2 linked regions of the Anolis sagrei genome follow. The protein of the gene in region 1 binds, or shares a complex with, the protein of each later gene. Links are inferred from orthologs where the notes say so. Each region holds a gene or a part of one and is shown in the gene's direction. Other genes may lie near its edges.

Region 1 (7,779 bases):
CTGTGTCTAATTCTGGGCACCACAATTGAAAAGAGATATTGACAAGCTGGAATGTGTCCAGAGGAGGGTGACTCAAATGATCAAGGGTCTGGAGAACAAGCCCTGTGAGGAGCGGCTTAAGGAGCTGGGCATGTTTAGCCTGAAGAAGAGAAGGCTGAGAGGAGACATGATAGCCATGTATAAATATGTGAGGGGAAGTCACAGGGAGGAGGGAGCAAGTTTTCTGCTGCCCTGGAGACTAAGATGCGGAGCAATGGCTTCACACTACAAGAAAGGAGATTCCACCTGAACTTTCTGACTGTGAGAGCTGTTCAGCAGTGGAACTCTCTACCCCGAATTGTGGTGGAGGCTCCTTCTATGGAGACTTTTAAACAGAGGCTATATGGCCATCTGTTGGGGGTGCTTTGAACACAATTTTCCTGCTTCTTGGCAGGGATTGGACTGGATGGCCCATGAGGTCTCTTCCAACTCTATGATTCTGTAATTCATGACCTCATAGACCAGCCCACGCCAGAGCTCCCTGTTGACCGTCGCCACCCCCAGCTTCAAGGACATGCCAGTCACTGCAAGGATACCATCCATCCATCTTGCTCTTGGTCGGCCTCTCTTTCCTTCCATTTTCCCCAGCATCATTATCTTCTCCAAGTTTTCCTGTATTATCAATATGTGGCCAATAATATCAATATGTGGCCAAAAATAAATATGTAGTTTATTTTTGCCTCTATTATCCTTCCCTCCAATGAGTAGTCGGGCTTTATTTCCTGATGTATGGACTGGTTGGATCTTCTTGCGGTCCGAGGCACTCTCAGAACTTTCCTCCAGCACCACAGTTCAAAAGCGTCTATCTTCCTTCACTTAGCCTTCCTTATGCTCCAGCTCTTGCATCCATAAGTTACCACAGGTAATACTATTGCTTTAACTATGTGGATCTTTGTTGCCAGTCTGATGTCTCTATTCTTAACTATTTTATAGAGATTGGTCATTGCTCTCCTCCCAAGAAGTAAGTGTCTTCTGATTTCCTGGATGAAGTCTGTGTCTGCAATAATCTTTGTGTCTAGAAATACCAAGTCTGCCACTGCCTCCTTGTTTTCTCCCTCTATTTGCCAGTTACCAATCAGTCTGGTTGTCATAATCTCAGTTTTTTTTAATGTTTAACTGCAACCCAGCTTTTGCACTTTCTTCTTTCACCTTGATTAGAAGGCTCCTCAACTCCTCCTCGCTTTCAGACATCAAAGTGGTATCATTTGCATATCTGAGGTTGTTAATGTTTCTTCCAGCAATTTTAACTCCAGCCTTGGATTCATCAAGCCCTGCACATTGCATGATGTGGGTGAGAGTATACAACCTTGCCGTACTCCTTTCCCAATCTTGAACCAGTCTGTTGTTTCGTGGTCTGTTCTTAGTGTTGCTACTTAGTTATTATACATATGCATATGAAACACAAACAAATTTCATGTTTAAACATGAGTCCTCATCTCCAAGACATCTCCCAATAAGCATATATGCCAATACAGATATCTGGGAAAAAAAAGTCCCATATCCAAAGCATTTCTGGTCCCAAGCATTTCAGATGAGGGATATTCAACCTGTATATTTTAAAAAGCATTTGTTATAGATAGCCACTGCCAGAGAGAGTTTAAAAAGTGACAGATTCTTGGAAGATCAGATGAGAAATCCACCAGTGGTTCCAGTATTGAAAGCATTAGGTATTTGCACATCAATTGCTGGCAAGCATAAGATAGAGAGGCCGCAGAATTGTTCCCATGCCTTTCTGGCAGGATGGGAGTGTTTATTCCAATACCTCATAAGAAGAGCTAAGCTAGATCAAACCAAAGAGTGATCTAATCCATCATATTTAATACTTTTATCTACACCGTAGAATGAATTGAGTTTGACACCACTTTATCTGCCCAATGCTATGGAATCAACGGGAGTGGTAGTTTTACAAAATGTTAGTCTTCTTTGTCATAGTGCTTGTGACTTACCATACTACAAATCCCAAGATACTATAGCATTGATTCATGGTGGTTAAGTGCTGTTAAACTGCACTAATTCTACAATGTAGATGAACCCTTGGTTGAGACCCAAAGTGGTTTGCAACATTAAAAACAATGCAATGTGTTGTCGAAGGCTTTCATGGCCAGAATCACTATTGCTGTCAGTTTTGCGGGGTATATGGCCATGTTCTAGAAGCATTCTCTATTGATGTTTCACCCACATCTATAGCAGCAGGCATCCTCAGAGGTTGTGAGGTTTTTTGGAAACTAGGCAAGTGGAATGTCCAGGGTGGGAGAAATAACTCCATAGATATATAAACCCCACTTGCCTAATTTCCAGCAGACTTCACAACCTCGGAGGATGCCTGCCATCAGGGCCGTAGCCAGAAAAAAAATTTCGGGGAGGGTTGAAATTTCAGGGAGGGTTTTTGAAAATTTGGGGGGGGGGGGGTTGAAACCTGCCTCCAACTCATGCTGAAGCCAAGAGCACAGCGGGGGGCAGAACAGCCTTCAATAGCCTGCAGCTCCGCCCCTGTCAACCACCTCCACCAAGTCTGGCCTCCTTGATGAGAGCTTTCATCACCCCCCCCCAACTTGGTTGCTTCACTACATGGGCTATTGCTGCAAGTAATGACAGTGTGAATAAATTGTCGATATTTGCTTGAGAGAGTGCTTGCAGTTCTGGAGGGACTCTTAATTTTTTGCATCTCATAGACTTAGCATGGGGATTTGGTTAACCAGTTAAAATTCATGAGCAAACCAGGTTTTTTTTAAACCTGAAAATTTTCGGGGGGGGGGGGGGTTTGAACCCCTACCCCCCCCCCCCCCGGCTACAGGCTTGCCTGCCATAGATGTAGGCAAAACATTAGGAGAGAATGCTTCTGGAACGTGGCCATACACCTCAGAAAACTCACAGCAACCCAATGCAATTGTAGACTCATAGAATCATAGAATTGGAAGAGGCCATCCAGTCCAACCTCCTGCCAAGAAAGAGGAAAATTGCATTCAAAGCACCCCCGACAGATGACCATCCAGCAATTTAAGAGCTACAATATATACATACTTTATATATCTTTAATTCAATCACTTAAAGCAAGCAAAACAATTAAAATAATGAAAACCCTATAGAGCAACCAAGAATAAAATCCCAAACACTTCTGGTCCCCAAAGTTTCAGATGAGGGATCCTCAAGCTGTATCTGTATCTAACTTCCTACACAATTCTCTCACTTTTTTTCTCTCTGGTCGACCCTGAGGTCAACGATTTGGCTTTCTGTTGTCATTCCTTTTTAAAAATACACACACAGATACACAATCACAACGGGGTTTCGATGCATATTACTCATGTGTGCTGCCTCGTACTGCAAACACTCACAGATGGTTGAAATTCTTGGCTTGTGCAAGGAAGCGGGGGAGGGATGAGGAGTTGTCAGTCTATATATAAAAAAAGTCTTGAGAGAAAGCTCCCAAATAAATGTCTCTTTGAATGAATATAAAACAAAAGGTGGGGGGGGGGGCGCAAGGGAGGATCTTCTCCACTCCTTTTATTTATTTATTTATGTTAATATTGGAATGTAGAAGGGGGGAGCCTTTGCCCGCCGGGGATTGGTTGACGGCAGGGAGAAAAGGCTCCTCTCGGCCAATCAGCGCCCCAGAAAGAACTTCGGCGTTCGAGAGACAACATTCCTTTTGATCTGATACACACTCACGCAGAAGAAGAAGAAGAAGAGACGCTGCTGCCCCGCTCGCCGAGACTCTGAAGCAGCCCACCCTGAGAGCCCGGTGCATGCTGGGAGCTGTAGTCCCCCCGCGGCGTTCCATCCGCGAGAGCGGGCGGGGGAGCGGGCCGGCCCGGACTACATTGCCCAGGGAGCCTGTCGGGAGTATATAATCAGCTGCAGGGAGCTGGCGAAGTGCAGTAACCATGTGGATGTTGAGCTAGCAGGGTGTTTGGCAGAGGCAAAGGGAGGCTGGCTGAGCAACCTCCATCCCTGGCGGAACCGGGCAGGGGCCGAAAAGGGGAATATGGGATTACCAAGAGGCTGATCAGTCACCCCAGGATTTAAGAGGAGTCCCTTATGCAACCAGGTAAAGCAATAGGGTGGGAGAGGAAATGAGGATGGGGTGTTTTCTCTCCTCACAGAGGATGTAGCTCTGGCTTATGGTGCATCTACACTGTGGAGTTAGCGCAGATTGATACCGCTTTAACTGTCATGGCTCAATGCTATAGGATCCTGAGGTTTGTGGTGCATCTACACTGTGGGAAAATGCAGTTTGATACCGCTTTAACTTATATGGTTCAACACTACGGAATCCTGGGGTTTGTGGAGCATCTACACTGGAATTATTGCAGTCTTATGCCGCTTTTACTTCTATGGTTCAATACTATGGGATCTTTGGGTTTGTGGAGCATCTGTGGGATTAGTGCAGTTTGATACCACTTTAACTTCTATGGTTCAACACTACGGAATCCTGGTGTTTGTGGAGCATCTACACTGTGGGATTAGTGCACTTTGATATCACTTTAACTTCTATGGTTCAACACTATGGGATCCTGGGTTTGTGGGGCATTTACACTGAGGAATTAGTGCACTTTGATACCAATTTAATTTCTGTGGTTCAACTGGGGTTTGTGGGACATCTACACTGTGGATTAGAGCAGTTTGACACCAGTTGGAACTGTCATGGCTCAATGCTGTGAAATCCTGGGATTTGTAATTTTGCATCTGTATTGTAGGATGAATACAGTTAAGTAAATACTACTTTAGGTGCCATGGCTGTATCTATACTATGGGATCCTGGGATGTATAGTGTTATAAGGGGTGCATCTACACCAGGCATGGGCCAACTTGGATCCTCCAGGTGTTTTGGACTTCAACTCCCACAATTCCTAACAGCCTATGGCTGTTAGGAATTGTGGGAGTTGAAGTCTAAAACACCTGGAGGGCCCAAGTTGGCCCATGCCTGATGTACACAGCGTAGAATTAATTTGTGGTCGCTTTAACTTCAATGGCCCGGTAGTATTATCGGATCCTGAGTGGTGGTAGTGCATCTACACTGTTGAATTAATGCAGTTCTGCACCACTTCATACTGCCGTGGGAGTTGTAGTTTTACTTTCTCCCCCTTTGCCAAAGATTCTTGTTGCCCCTCCAAACTATAACTCCCAGGATCCCATAGCAATGAGCCATGGCAGTTGAATTGGAGTCAAACTGCATCGATCCTACAGTGTAGATGCACTAGCTGTGTCCATTAAAAACCCATATTGGTTTGTGTGCCTTCCCTTTCTTACCAGATCACCCAGATGCCTGTTTCTGCAGCAAGGATTTGTAGGGTGTTTATTTATTATTATTTTGGAAGTAAAGAAAAGAAAGCAGCAACAGATTTTTCTTTATTTTTCTGTCTCTGTTCAATCCCCGCCCTAAGTTTGCAACAGTTTGTTTGCTGTTACTGTTTTATGTTACTGTTTCTGCATCTTTTTTTGTATTTTATGTGTTGCACCTTTGAGTGCTTTGTAAGCTGTCCCAGGTCCTTCTGGGGTATAAATAAATAAAGTTTAAATCTATTATTATTATTATTATTATTATTAACAAGAAAGCATTTGTAGCTGCAGGGAGACTTGAAAGGCGATCTTGGATTGTTATTGTTCATTATTTTTGGAAGGGAAAGATGTCCTTAACTGGCTCAAAAAAACAACAACTTCATGGCTTTGATGCAGCAAACTATAAAAAGCCATTTAAGGAGGATGTGAGTTGGGGTTTTTTTTCTGGGGAAAGAGGGAAAGTCAAAAAAGGGATTAAGCCACAGATGGTTCTGCCCAACAGGTAGGTCTGAATAGTCTGGTTACAGAGACATCCCCTCTTCCCTTGGGTTTCCCTTGACATCTTAAGCAGGAGCAACAGCGCCAGGGTTTGCTTTCTTGCCAGGTTGCGTTCCTTGGCAGCAAACTTTTGACATCTGGGGCCGCGACAGGCATTTCAAAGTTATTAACTCAATTGCTTTTGTTTCAAATGGAGCCGGAGAAAGCAGACAGCCCCTTGGCTCCGGCCAGTGTGGAAAAAGGATGCCTGTGGAAGGGTGGCTCAGGGTGCATCTACACCAGGCATGGGTTAACTTGGGCCCTCCAGGTGTTTTGGACTTCAGCTTCCACAATTCCCAAGTTGGCCCATGCATGTGCTATTTTGACATACTCATTTGCATATGCTTTCTGACTGGCCAGCCTCAACATTCTAGCATACTTAAGTGGCTGAGGGGGGAAAGGAAGGGGCCTGAGGCTGTGAGGAATGGGGGGAGTTGGAGTCCAAAACACCTGGAAGGCCCAAGTTGGCCCATGCATGAGCTATCTCGACCTACTCATTTGCATATGGTTTCTGATTAGCCAGTTTCAACATTCTAACAGGCTTAAGTGGCTGAGCAGCAAAAGGAAGGGGCCTGAGGCTGTTAGGAATGGTGGGAGTTGGAGTCCAAAACACCTGGAGGGCCCAAGTTGGCCCATTCATGAGCTATCTCAATCTACTAATTTGCATATGGTTTCTGATTGGCGATCCTCAACATTCTAACTTTCTTAAGTGGCTGAGCAGGAAAAGGAAGGGGCCTGAGGCTGTTAGGAATGGTGGGAGTTGAAGTCCAAAACACCAGGAGGGCCCAAGTTGGCCCATGCATGAGCTATCTCGACCTACTCATTTGCATATGGTTTTTTATTGGCCAGCCTCAACATTCTAGCATACTTAAGTGGCTGAGAGGGAAAAGCAAAGGGACTGAGGCTGTTAGGAATGGTGGGAGTTGAAGTCCAAAACACCTGGAGGGCCCAAGTTGGCCCATGCCTTATCTACATTGGAGAATTAATGCATTTCTGCTCCACTTGAACTGCTAAGGATCAATGCTATGGAGTCCTGGGAATTTGAGTTTGATGAGACACCAAACTAAACCATTTGTGAAAAATACAAGTCCCAGGATTCTGTGGTATTGAGCCACCACAGTTAAAAGAGGTGCCAAACTGCATTGGTTCTACAGTGTTGATGCAAGCGAAAAGTAGTTACCAGAAAATGAATTACATATTTTTAAAACTCCCTTTGAAATTGAGTTGATGGATTGAGTTGAGGGATTTAGGAGATCAGAGTTAATATGATGAAAGGGGTGACATTTTTTTTTAATCTGCCAGAGTAATGATTCTCAAGCTCTGGTCCTCTAAAGAATATGGGAAGTGGAAGGGTGCATCTCTACACTGTAGAAATAATACAGTTTGACACCATTTTAACTGCTATGGCTCAAATGTTATGGAATCATGGGAGTTTTAATAGCAGGCACTTTTTGGCAGAGAAGGCTAAAGGGGCTTCTAAGACCACAATTCCAACAATTCATAGAATCATAGAGTTGGAAGAGACCTCATGGGCCATTCAGTCCAACCCCCCTGCCAAGAAGCAGGAAAATAGCATTTGAAGCATCCCTGACAGATGACCATCCAGCCTCTTTAAAAACCTCTAAAGAAGGAGCCTTCAACACAGTCCAGGGCAGAGAGTTCCACTGCTGAACACCTCTCACAGTTAGGAAGTTCTAATGTTCAGGTGGAATCTCCTTTCCTGTAGTTTGAAGCCATTGTATCACCTCCTAGGATTCCATAGTATTGAGCCATGGAAGACAAAGTGGTGTCAAACTGCGTTATATTTACAGCATAGATGCAGCCAAAGCACCTGGAAGATCAACATGTGGGAAACACTGTTCCAAAACTTCCTTATGAAGGACAAAATAAAGGGTGTCTATAGTGCTTTCGCAAAAGCAAACTATG
Region 2 (7,779 bases), on another chromosome or scaffold:
TACAGACAACGCCGGCTCTTCGGCTTAGAAATTGAGATGAACACCATCCCCCAGAGATGACTGGACTTAATGTCAGGGGAAAACCTTTACCTTTAACTAACTCTTCCAAAAGTGAATTTCCCTTCAGAGGGGTAGATTCCTCTCCCTTCTTGTTGTCTCACCCCCGTTCTTAACTATGGACCACTTGTAAGTCTGATGTTTGTAATCCGGAGACTGTCTGTAATGTTCTTGGCATTTTCCTGCAGACCACACTATTAGTTTGGAAAACTCTGCTTCAATCAAGGTAAGGCAGTTTGAACACCACTTTTAAACTGCTATGGTTGATCAATGCTATGAAATCTTAAGTAGTTGTAGTACGGAAAAGGAGGGTAGAGAATGCTCAGAAGAACTTGCAAAAATGACAACACCCAGGCCCCTTCCACATAACCTTATAAAATCCACATTGAGGTAGATTAAATGACAGTGTGGAGCCAGATAGCCCAGTTCAAAGCATGTATTACGGATTATCTGCCTTGATATTCTGGGGGCCTTTCCACACAGCCATATAACTCAGAATATCAAGGCAGAAAATCCATACAGCTGAATAAAATCCCAAATCTTCTGCTTTGAACTGGAATATATGGCAACGTGGACACAGATAATTCAGTTCAAAGCAGACACTGTGAGATTTTCTGTCTTGATATTCTGGGTTATATTGCTGTGTGGAAAGGCCCTGTATTATATAGCTGCGTGGACTCAGATAACCCAATTTAAAGTGGATATTGTGGATTATCTGCCTTGATCTTCTGTTTTATTATATGGCTGTGTGGACTCGGATAACCCAGTTTGAAGCAAATATTATGGGATTATCTGCCTTGATATTCTGGGTTATATGACTGAGAGCCCTTCCACACAGCCATATATCCCAGGATATCAAGGCAGGAAATCCCACAATATCTGCTTTGAACTGGGTTATCTGATTCCACACTGCCATATATTGTGGCAAGTTCTTGGTGATATGGGAATACCAAATCACCTTGTCTGTCTCCTGAGGAATCTGTATAAGGACCAAGTAGCAATAGTAAGAACTGGCCATGGAACAACAGACTGGTTCAAGATTGGGAAAGGCGTACGGCAAGGCTGCATACTCTCACCCAACCTATTCAACTTGTATGCAGAACACATCATGCGACGTGCGGGGCTTGAGGAATGCAAAGCTGGGGTGAAAATTGCTGGAAGAAACATTAACAACCTTAGATATACAGATGACACCACTCTGATGGCCGAAAGCGAGGAGGAGCTGAGTAGCCTTCTAACCAAGGTGAAAGAATAAAGCGCAAAAGCTGGGTGACAGCTAAACATTAAAAAAAAAAACCAAGATTATGGCAACAAGAATGATTGACAACTGGGAAATAGAGGGAGAAAATGTGGAGGCAGCAACAGATTTTGTATTTCTAGGTGCAGATATTACTGCAGACGCAGACTGCAGCCAGGAATCAGAAGACGCTTACTTCTTAGGAGGAGAGCAATGACCAATCTTGATAAAATAGTGAAGAACAGAGACATCACACTGGCAACAAAGATCTGCATAGTTAAAGCAATGGTATTCCCCATTGTCACCCATGGATGTGAGAGCTGGACGATAGGGAAGGCTGAGCAAAAGAAGATAGATGCTTTTGAACTGTGGTGTTGGAGGAAAGTTCTGAGAGTGCCTTGGATCGCAAGAAGATCCAACCAGTCCATACTTCAGGAAATAAAGCCCGACCGCTCATTGGAGAGAAGGATAGTAGAGGCAAAGATGAAGTACTTTGGCCACATCGTGAGAAGAAAGGAAAGCTTGGAGAAGACAATTATGCTGGGGAAAATGGAAGGAAAAGGGAAGAGGGGCCAACAAAGGGCAAGATGGATGGATTGTATCCTTGAAGTGACTGGCTTGACATTGAAGTAGCTGGGGGTGTTGATAGCAGACAGGGAGCTCTGGTGTGGGCTGGTCCATGAGGTCACATAGAGTCGGAAACGACTGAACGAATGAACAACAACAACAACATCTGATTCCACACTAGGATAATGTGGGATTTATTGTCGAAGGCTTTCATGGCTGGAATCACTGGGTTGTTGTAGGTTTTTTCGGGCTATATGGCCATGTTCTAGAGGCATTCTCTCCTGACATTTCGCCTGCATCTATGGCAAGCATCCTCAGAGGTAGTGAGGTCTGTTGGAACTAGGGAAGTGGGTTTATGTATCTGTGGAATGACCAGGGTGGGACAAAGAACTCTTGTCTGTTGGAGCTAGGTGTGAATGTTTCAACTGAGCACCTTGATTAGCATTTGATGGCCTGTCAATGACTGAGGCAATCTTTTGTTGAGAGGTGATTAGATGTCCTTGTTTGTTTCCTCTCTGTTGTTGTGCTGTTCTAATTTTAGAGTTTTTTTTTAATACTGGTAGCCACATTTTGTTCATTTTCATGGTTTCCTCATTTCTGTTGAAATTGTCCACACACTTGTGGATTTCAATGGCTTCTCTGTGTAGTCTGACATGGTGGTTGTGAGAGTGGTCCAGCATTTCTGTGTTCTCAAATAATATGCTGTGTCCAGGTTGTTCATCAGGTGCTCTGCTATGGCTGACTTCTCTGGTTGAAGTAGTCTGCAGTGCCTTGGAGAGTTGGAAGCCTGGACACAGCATATTATTTGAGAACACAGAAATGCTGGACCACGCTAACAACCACCATGTCAGACTACACAGAGAAGCCATTGAAATCCACAAGCACCTGCAGGTGCAACGTCAGGAGAGAATGCCTCTAAAACATGGCCTTATAGCCCGAAAAAACCTACAACAACCTAATGTGGGATTATCTGCCTTGATATCCTGGGATAAAGGGCTGTGTGGAAGGGCCCTGAGTGGAAGGGCCACCAGTTTGTCAATAGCATCGAACTAGGGCACCCATTGGCAGGACCTGTGCTGGACAGCTAATTCTGCAAAGAAGAGGCGCCCATTGGCGGGGCCAGAGTGGTTGAAAGACACCTGTGCTTGACAGCTAACGCACGTTCTGTTGTGTGTATGTTTTTTGGACTGTTTGTGAGGCGCTCAAGCCGACTTCCCGCCAAAAATTAAAGTCTGTCAGAGAAGACTGGGAAGAGGGAAAGAAGCCCCCGCGCCTCCTCTCCCCCTCCCCCCCCCACCGCGAGCGAGCGCGCGCGCGCTTCGAACTCTCCAAGGGTTGATCTCTCTCTCTCCTCTGAGACGGAAGAGAGCGCGTGCTTCGGCGGGAAAACACGCAACACAACAAGCGGCGCGCGCCGTCTTTGGGGGGCCAGGAAGGCGCCCGGAATGCAGCCCTCTCCCTCCTTTTTCTTCTTCTTACGAGGCTGAGTTGTGCGGAGGAAGGAGGAGAAGGGGGGTGGGAGAAAGAGGGGCGGCCGTAACAGCTGAGGAGAAGGAGGAGGAGAAAGAAGAAGAGAGGCGGGGGCGCGGGCGGGATAGCGGAACGGCGGCGGCGGCGGCGGAGGGAGAGAGAAAGCGGCGGCATGCTGCAGACGCCCCTCGCGCTCCCTCCTCACTCTCCGTCTCTCTCCAGTCTGGTGGCCTGACGCAGGCAAGCAGGCGGAGAGGAGGAGGAGGAGGAGGAGGGTGGTGGGCTTCTCCCCAGGATGGGGGCTCCCTTCCCCTAGGAAGCGGCGAGTAGCAGCAACAGTCCAACAGGCAAAGTTGGCGCGAAGTGGGACGAGGCGGAGGGGGAGAGGTGGCTCCGTCGGCGGCGGCGGCGTTGGCGGCTCCCTTCGAGGATGGGGACGCTGCGGGATTTGCAGTACGCCTTGCAAGAGAAGATCGAGGAGCTCCGCCAGCGGGACGCGCTCATCGACGAGCTGGAGCTGGAGCTGGACCAGAAGGACGAGCTCATCCAGCGGCTCCAGAACGAGCTGGACAAGTACCGCTCCGTGATCCGGCCGGCCACCCAGCAGGCGCACCAGGGGGCCGCTGGAGCCCTGCCCGGGGGAGGAGGAGGAGGCGGTGGGGGTGGAGGAGGAGGAGGAGGAAGCGGAGGAGGAGGGGGCGAGCAGCGGACCAAGCGGCAGGCCATCTCCGCCGAGCCCACCGCCTTCGACCTCCAGGACCTCAGCCACGTCACCCTGCCCTTCTACCCCAAGAGCCCGCAGTAAGCACCCACCGCCTCGAGGGGTCCCTGTCTCTGTCTCTGTGTGTCTCTCTCTGTGTCTGTGTCTTGTCTGGCTTCCCCCCCATCTCTCCTTCCTCTACAATCACTTTGCGCCCACATTCCCCAGAGCCACCTTCAGGCGCACACAGCTGGATCTACACTGCCCTGTATACCAGGATCTCATCCCAAAGTATATGCTTTGGACGGGATTATATGAGTCTACACAGCCAGATAATCTGAAGTCAGATCCTGAGATATAGTGCAGTGCCCTTTTGCAGTCCCACACATAGGGAGATCTACACTGCCCTATATCTCAGTATATGCTTTGGACTGGATTATATGAGTCTACACAGCCAGATAATCTGAAGTCAGATCCTGAGATATAGTGCAGTGCCCTTTTGCAGTCCCACACATAGGGAGATCTACACTGCCCTATATCTCAGTATATGCTTTGGACTGGATTATATGAGTCTTTAAAGCCAGATAATCTGAAGTCAAATCCTGAGATATAGTGCAGTGCTCTTTGCAGTCCCACTCATAGGGAGACTCGGGGGTCCCTTGATTTACAAAGGATTCCTTACAATATTTTACAATCAAAACTATTCCATAGAAGGAACTCTTGGCTACCCTTCCCTTCTCTCTCTCTACACACACACACACACACAGTGAGGCTGGATCTACACTGCCCTATATCCCAGGATCTGATCCCAAAGTATATGCTTTGGACGGGATTATATGAGTCTACACAGCCAGACAGAGGCGGCCCTAGGTAATTTTCAACGGTAAGCAAACAGTATTTTGGCGCCCCCCCCCCCCAACCAAGCATTGATATATATTTTCTGTTTGTCATGGGAGTTCAGCGTGCCATATTTGGTTCAATCCCATCATTGGTGGAGTTCAGAATGCTCTTTGATTGTAGGTGAACTATACATCCCAGTAACTACACTTGCTGCACTTGCTCCCTTGCCTGGCCCGCTTTGGGTCCGGAGGCGTGCCTGAAGACCCCAGCGTGTGCACCAAAAGTCACCTCTTCTCCTGACTTTCTCCTCAGCCATTGGGACCAAGAGAGAGAGAGAGAGAGAGAGAGAGGTGGAGATGCCCACCTTTCCTGAAAGTAGGCGCAAAAACAAAGGAGGAAGCAGAGGTGGGAGATACCTCCAGCCGGAGGGGCTCTCTCTCTCTCTCTCTCTCTCTCTCTCTTGGTCCCAATGGCTAAAGAGAAAGTCAGGAGAAGAGGCAACTTTTGGTGCACATGCTGGGGTCTTCAGACACGCCTCCGGACCCAAAGCGGGCCAGGTGCGGCGGCTCCCCCCCTTGGCCCACCCACGGATTGGGGAGAGGAGAGGAGGCGAGTGGAGCGCTGGGGGATCGGGAAAGGGAGCCGGTCATGGGGAAGGGATCGAACGCGGAGAATGATTGAGCGCCGGCGCTGCTCATGCATCCGGTAGCCGGGTGGAGCAGGAACGAGCAGGGCGAGGCGAGGGTCAAGGGCCCGGCCCCTTTGGGATGAGGATCTCCCAGCAGTGAGGCAAGAAAGCCGAGGCTCCCCCCGGACTGCTATGGCTGTTGTGAGCTGAGGGGGTGCTCCTCAAGTGGTGGTCGAGGGGCATTTACAGAGGTGCCTCGGCGCCCCTGGCAAAAAAAAGTGTTCTGCGACCGCTTACTTCGCGTAATGGATGAGCCGCCCCTGCAGCCAGATAATCTGAAGTCAGATCCTGAGATATAGTGCAGTGCCCTTTTGCAGTCCCACACATAGGGAGATCTACTGCCCTATATCTCAGTATATGCTTTGAACTGGATTATATGAGTCTACACAGCCAGATAATCTGAAGTCAGATCTTGAGATATAGTCCAGTGCGCTTTTGCAGTCCCACGCATAGGGAGACTTGGGGGTACCTTGATTTACAAAGGATTCCTTACAATATTTTACAAACAAAACTATTCCATAGAAGGAACTCTTGGCCACCCCTCTCCTCCTCTCTCTCTCTCTCTCTCTCTCTACACAGAGTGAGGCTGGATCTACACTGCCCTATATTCCAGGATCTGATCCCAAAGTATATGCTTTGGACAGGATTATGTGAGTCTACACAGTCAGATAATCTGAAGTCAGATCCTGAGATATAGTCCAGTGTGCCCTTTTGCAGTGCCACACATAGGGAGACTTGAGGGTACCTTGATTTACAAAGGATTCCTTACAATATTTTGCAAAAAACAAAACAAAACAAAAAACTATTCCTTAGAGCAGTGGTTCTCAACCTGGGGTCCCCAGATGTTTTTGGCCTACAACTCCCAGAAATCTCAGCCAGTTTACCAGCTATTAGGATTTCTGGGAGTTGAAGGCCAAAAACATCTGGGGACCCCAGGTTGAGAACCACTGCCTTAGAAGGACCTTTTAGCCAATTTTAGTATTTTACAAAAAAAAAAACCCCTTATTTTTAGAAGGAAGTCTTAGCCATCCCCCCCCCCCCCCCTCTACACACAAAATGAGGCTGGATCTACACTGTCCTATATCCCAGGATCTGATCCCAACGTATATGCTTTGGGCCAGGTTATATGAGTCTACACAGCCAAATAATCTGAAGTCAAATCCTGAGATATAGTGCAGTGCTCTTTTGCAGTCCCACTCATAGGGAGACTTGGGGGTACCTTGATTTACAAAGAATTCCTTACAAGATTTTACAAACAAAACTATTCCATAGAAGGAACTCTTGGCCACCCTTCCCCCCTCTCTCTACACACGCACAGAGAGAGGCTGGAGCTACACTGCCCTATATCCCGGGATCTTATGCCAGAGTATTTGCTTTGGACTTGGTTATATGAGTCTATGCTCCCAGATAATCTGGGATCAGATCCTGGGATATAGGGCAGTGTCCTCTCTCTTGGCCCTTTTGTAGTCCCACACATAGGGTGACTTGGGGTACCTTGACTTACAAAAGATTCCTTACAATATTTTATAAACATTCCTTAGAAGGAACTCTTGGACACCTCTTTGTATGTATGTGTATATATATAAATACACACAACCAAACAAACACACACACACAGTGAGGCTGGATCTACACTGCGTTATATTCCAGGATATGGTCCCAGAGTATATGCTTAGAACTGGGTTATATGAGTCTAAATGCCTCCTGGTGGCGCAGTGGGTTAAACCACTGAGCTGCTGAACTTGCTGACCGAAAGGTTGGTGGTTTGAATCCTCGGGATGGGGTGAGCTCCTGCTGTTAGCCCCAGCCTCTGCCAACCTAGCAGTTTGAAAATATGCAAATGTGACTAGATCAATAGATAACAGCACTCCGTGCAGTCATGCTGGCCACATGACCTTGGAGGCGTCTACGGACAATGCTGGCTCTTTGGCTTAGAAATGGGGATGAGCATTACCCCCAGAGTCGGATGTGACTAGACAAAGTCTGGGGAAGCCTTTACCTTATAGGAGTCTACACTGTCAGATAATCTTGGAACGGATCCTGGGATGAAGGGCAGTATGGAAGTGGCTTCTCTCTTTCCTTTTGCAGGACACTAAGGGTATCTTGCCTTACAAAAGATTCTTTACAGTATTTTACAAAAAATATCCCTTAGAAGGAACTCTTGCCCACCTCTTTCCTTACACACACAGTGAGGCTGAATCTACACTGCCTTATATCCCA

Evidence for each region. The genes of interacting proteins can lie anywhere in the genome.
Region 2: ITPR1 (region 1) and PRKG1 share a complex: the UniProt entries of both Homo sapiens proteins name them as parts of the cGMP kinase signaling complex. The link is inferred for Anolis sagrei from reciprocal best matches to the Homo sapiens genes ITPR1 and PRKG1.

The regions. Positions count from the first base shown.
Region 1 is NC_090022.1:45,932,865-45,940,643, forward strand, and holds the start of ITPR1 (inositol 1,4,5-trisphosphate-gated calcium channel ITPR1), read left to right. Parts: upstream 1-3,709; 5' UTR 3,710-4,084; intron 4,085-7,779. UniProt on the Homo sapiens protein: Inositol 1,4,5-trisphosphate-gated calcium channel that, upon inositol 1,4,5-trisphosphate binding, mediates calcium release from the endoplasmic reticulum (ER).
Region 2 is NC_090023.1:181,874,031-181,881,809, reverse strand, and holds the start of PRKG1 (cGMP-dependent protein kinase 1), read left to right. Parts: upstream 1-3,446; 5' UTR 3,447-3,761; coding exon 3,762-4,132; intron 4,133-7,779. UniProt on the Homo sapiens protein: Serine/threonine protein kinase that acts as a key mediator of the nitric oxide (NO)/cGMP signaling pathway. GMP binding activates PRKG1, which phosphorylates serines and threonines on many cellular proteins.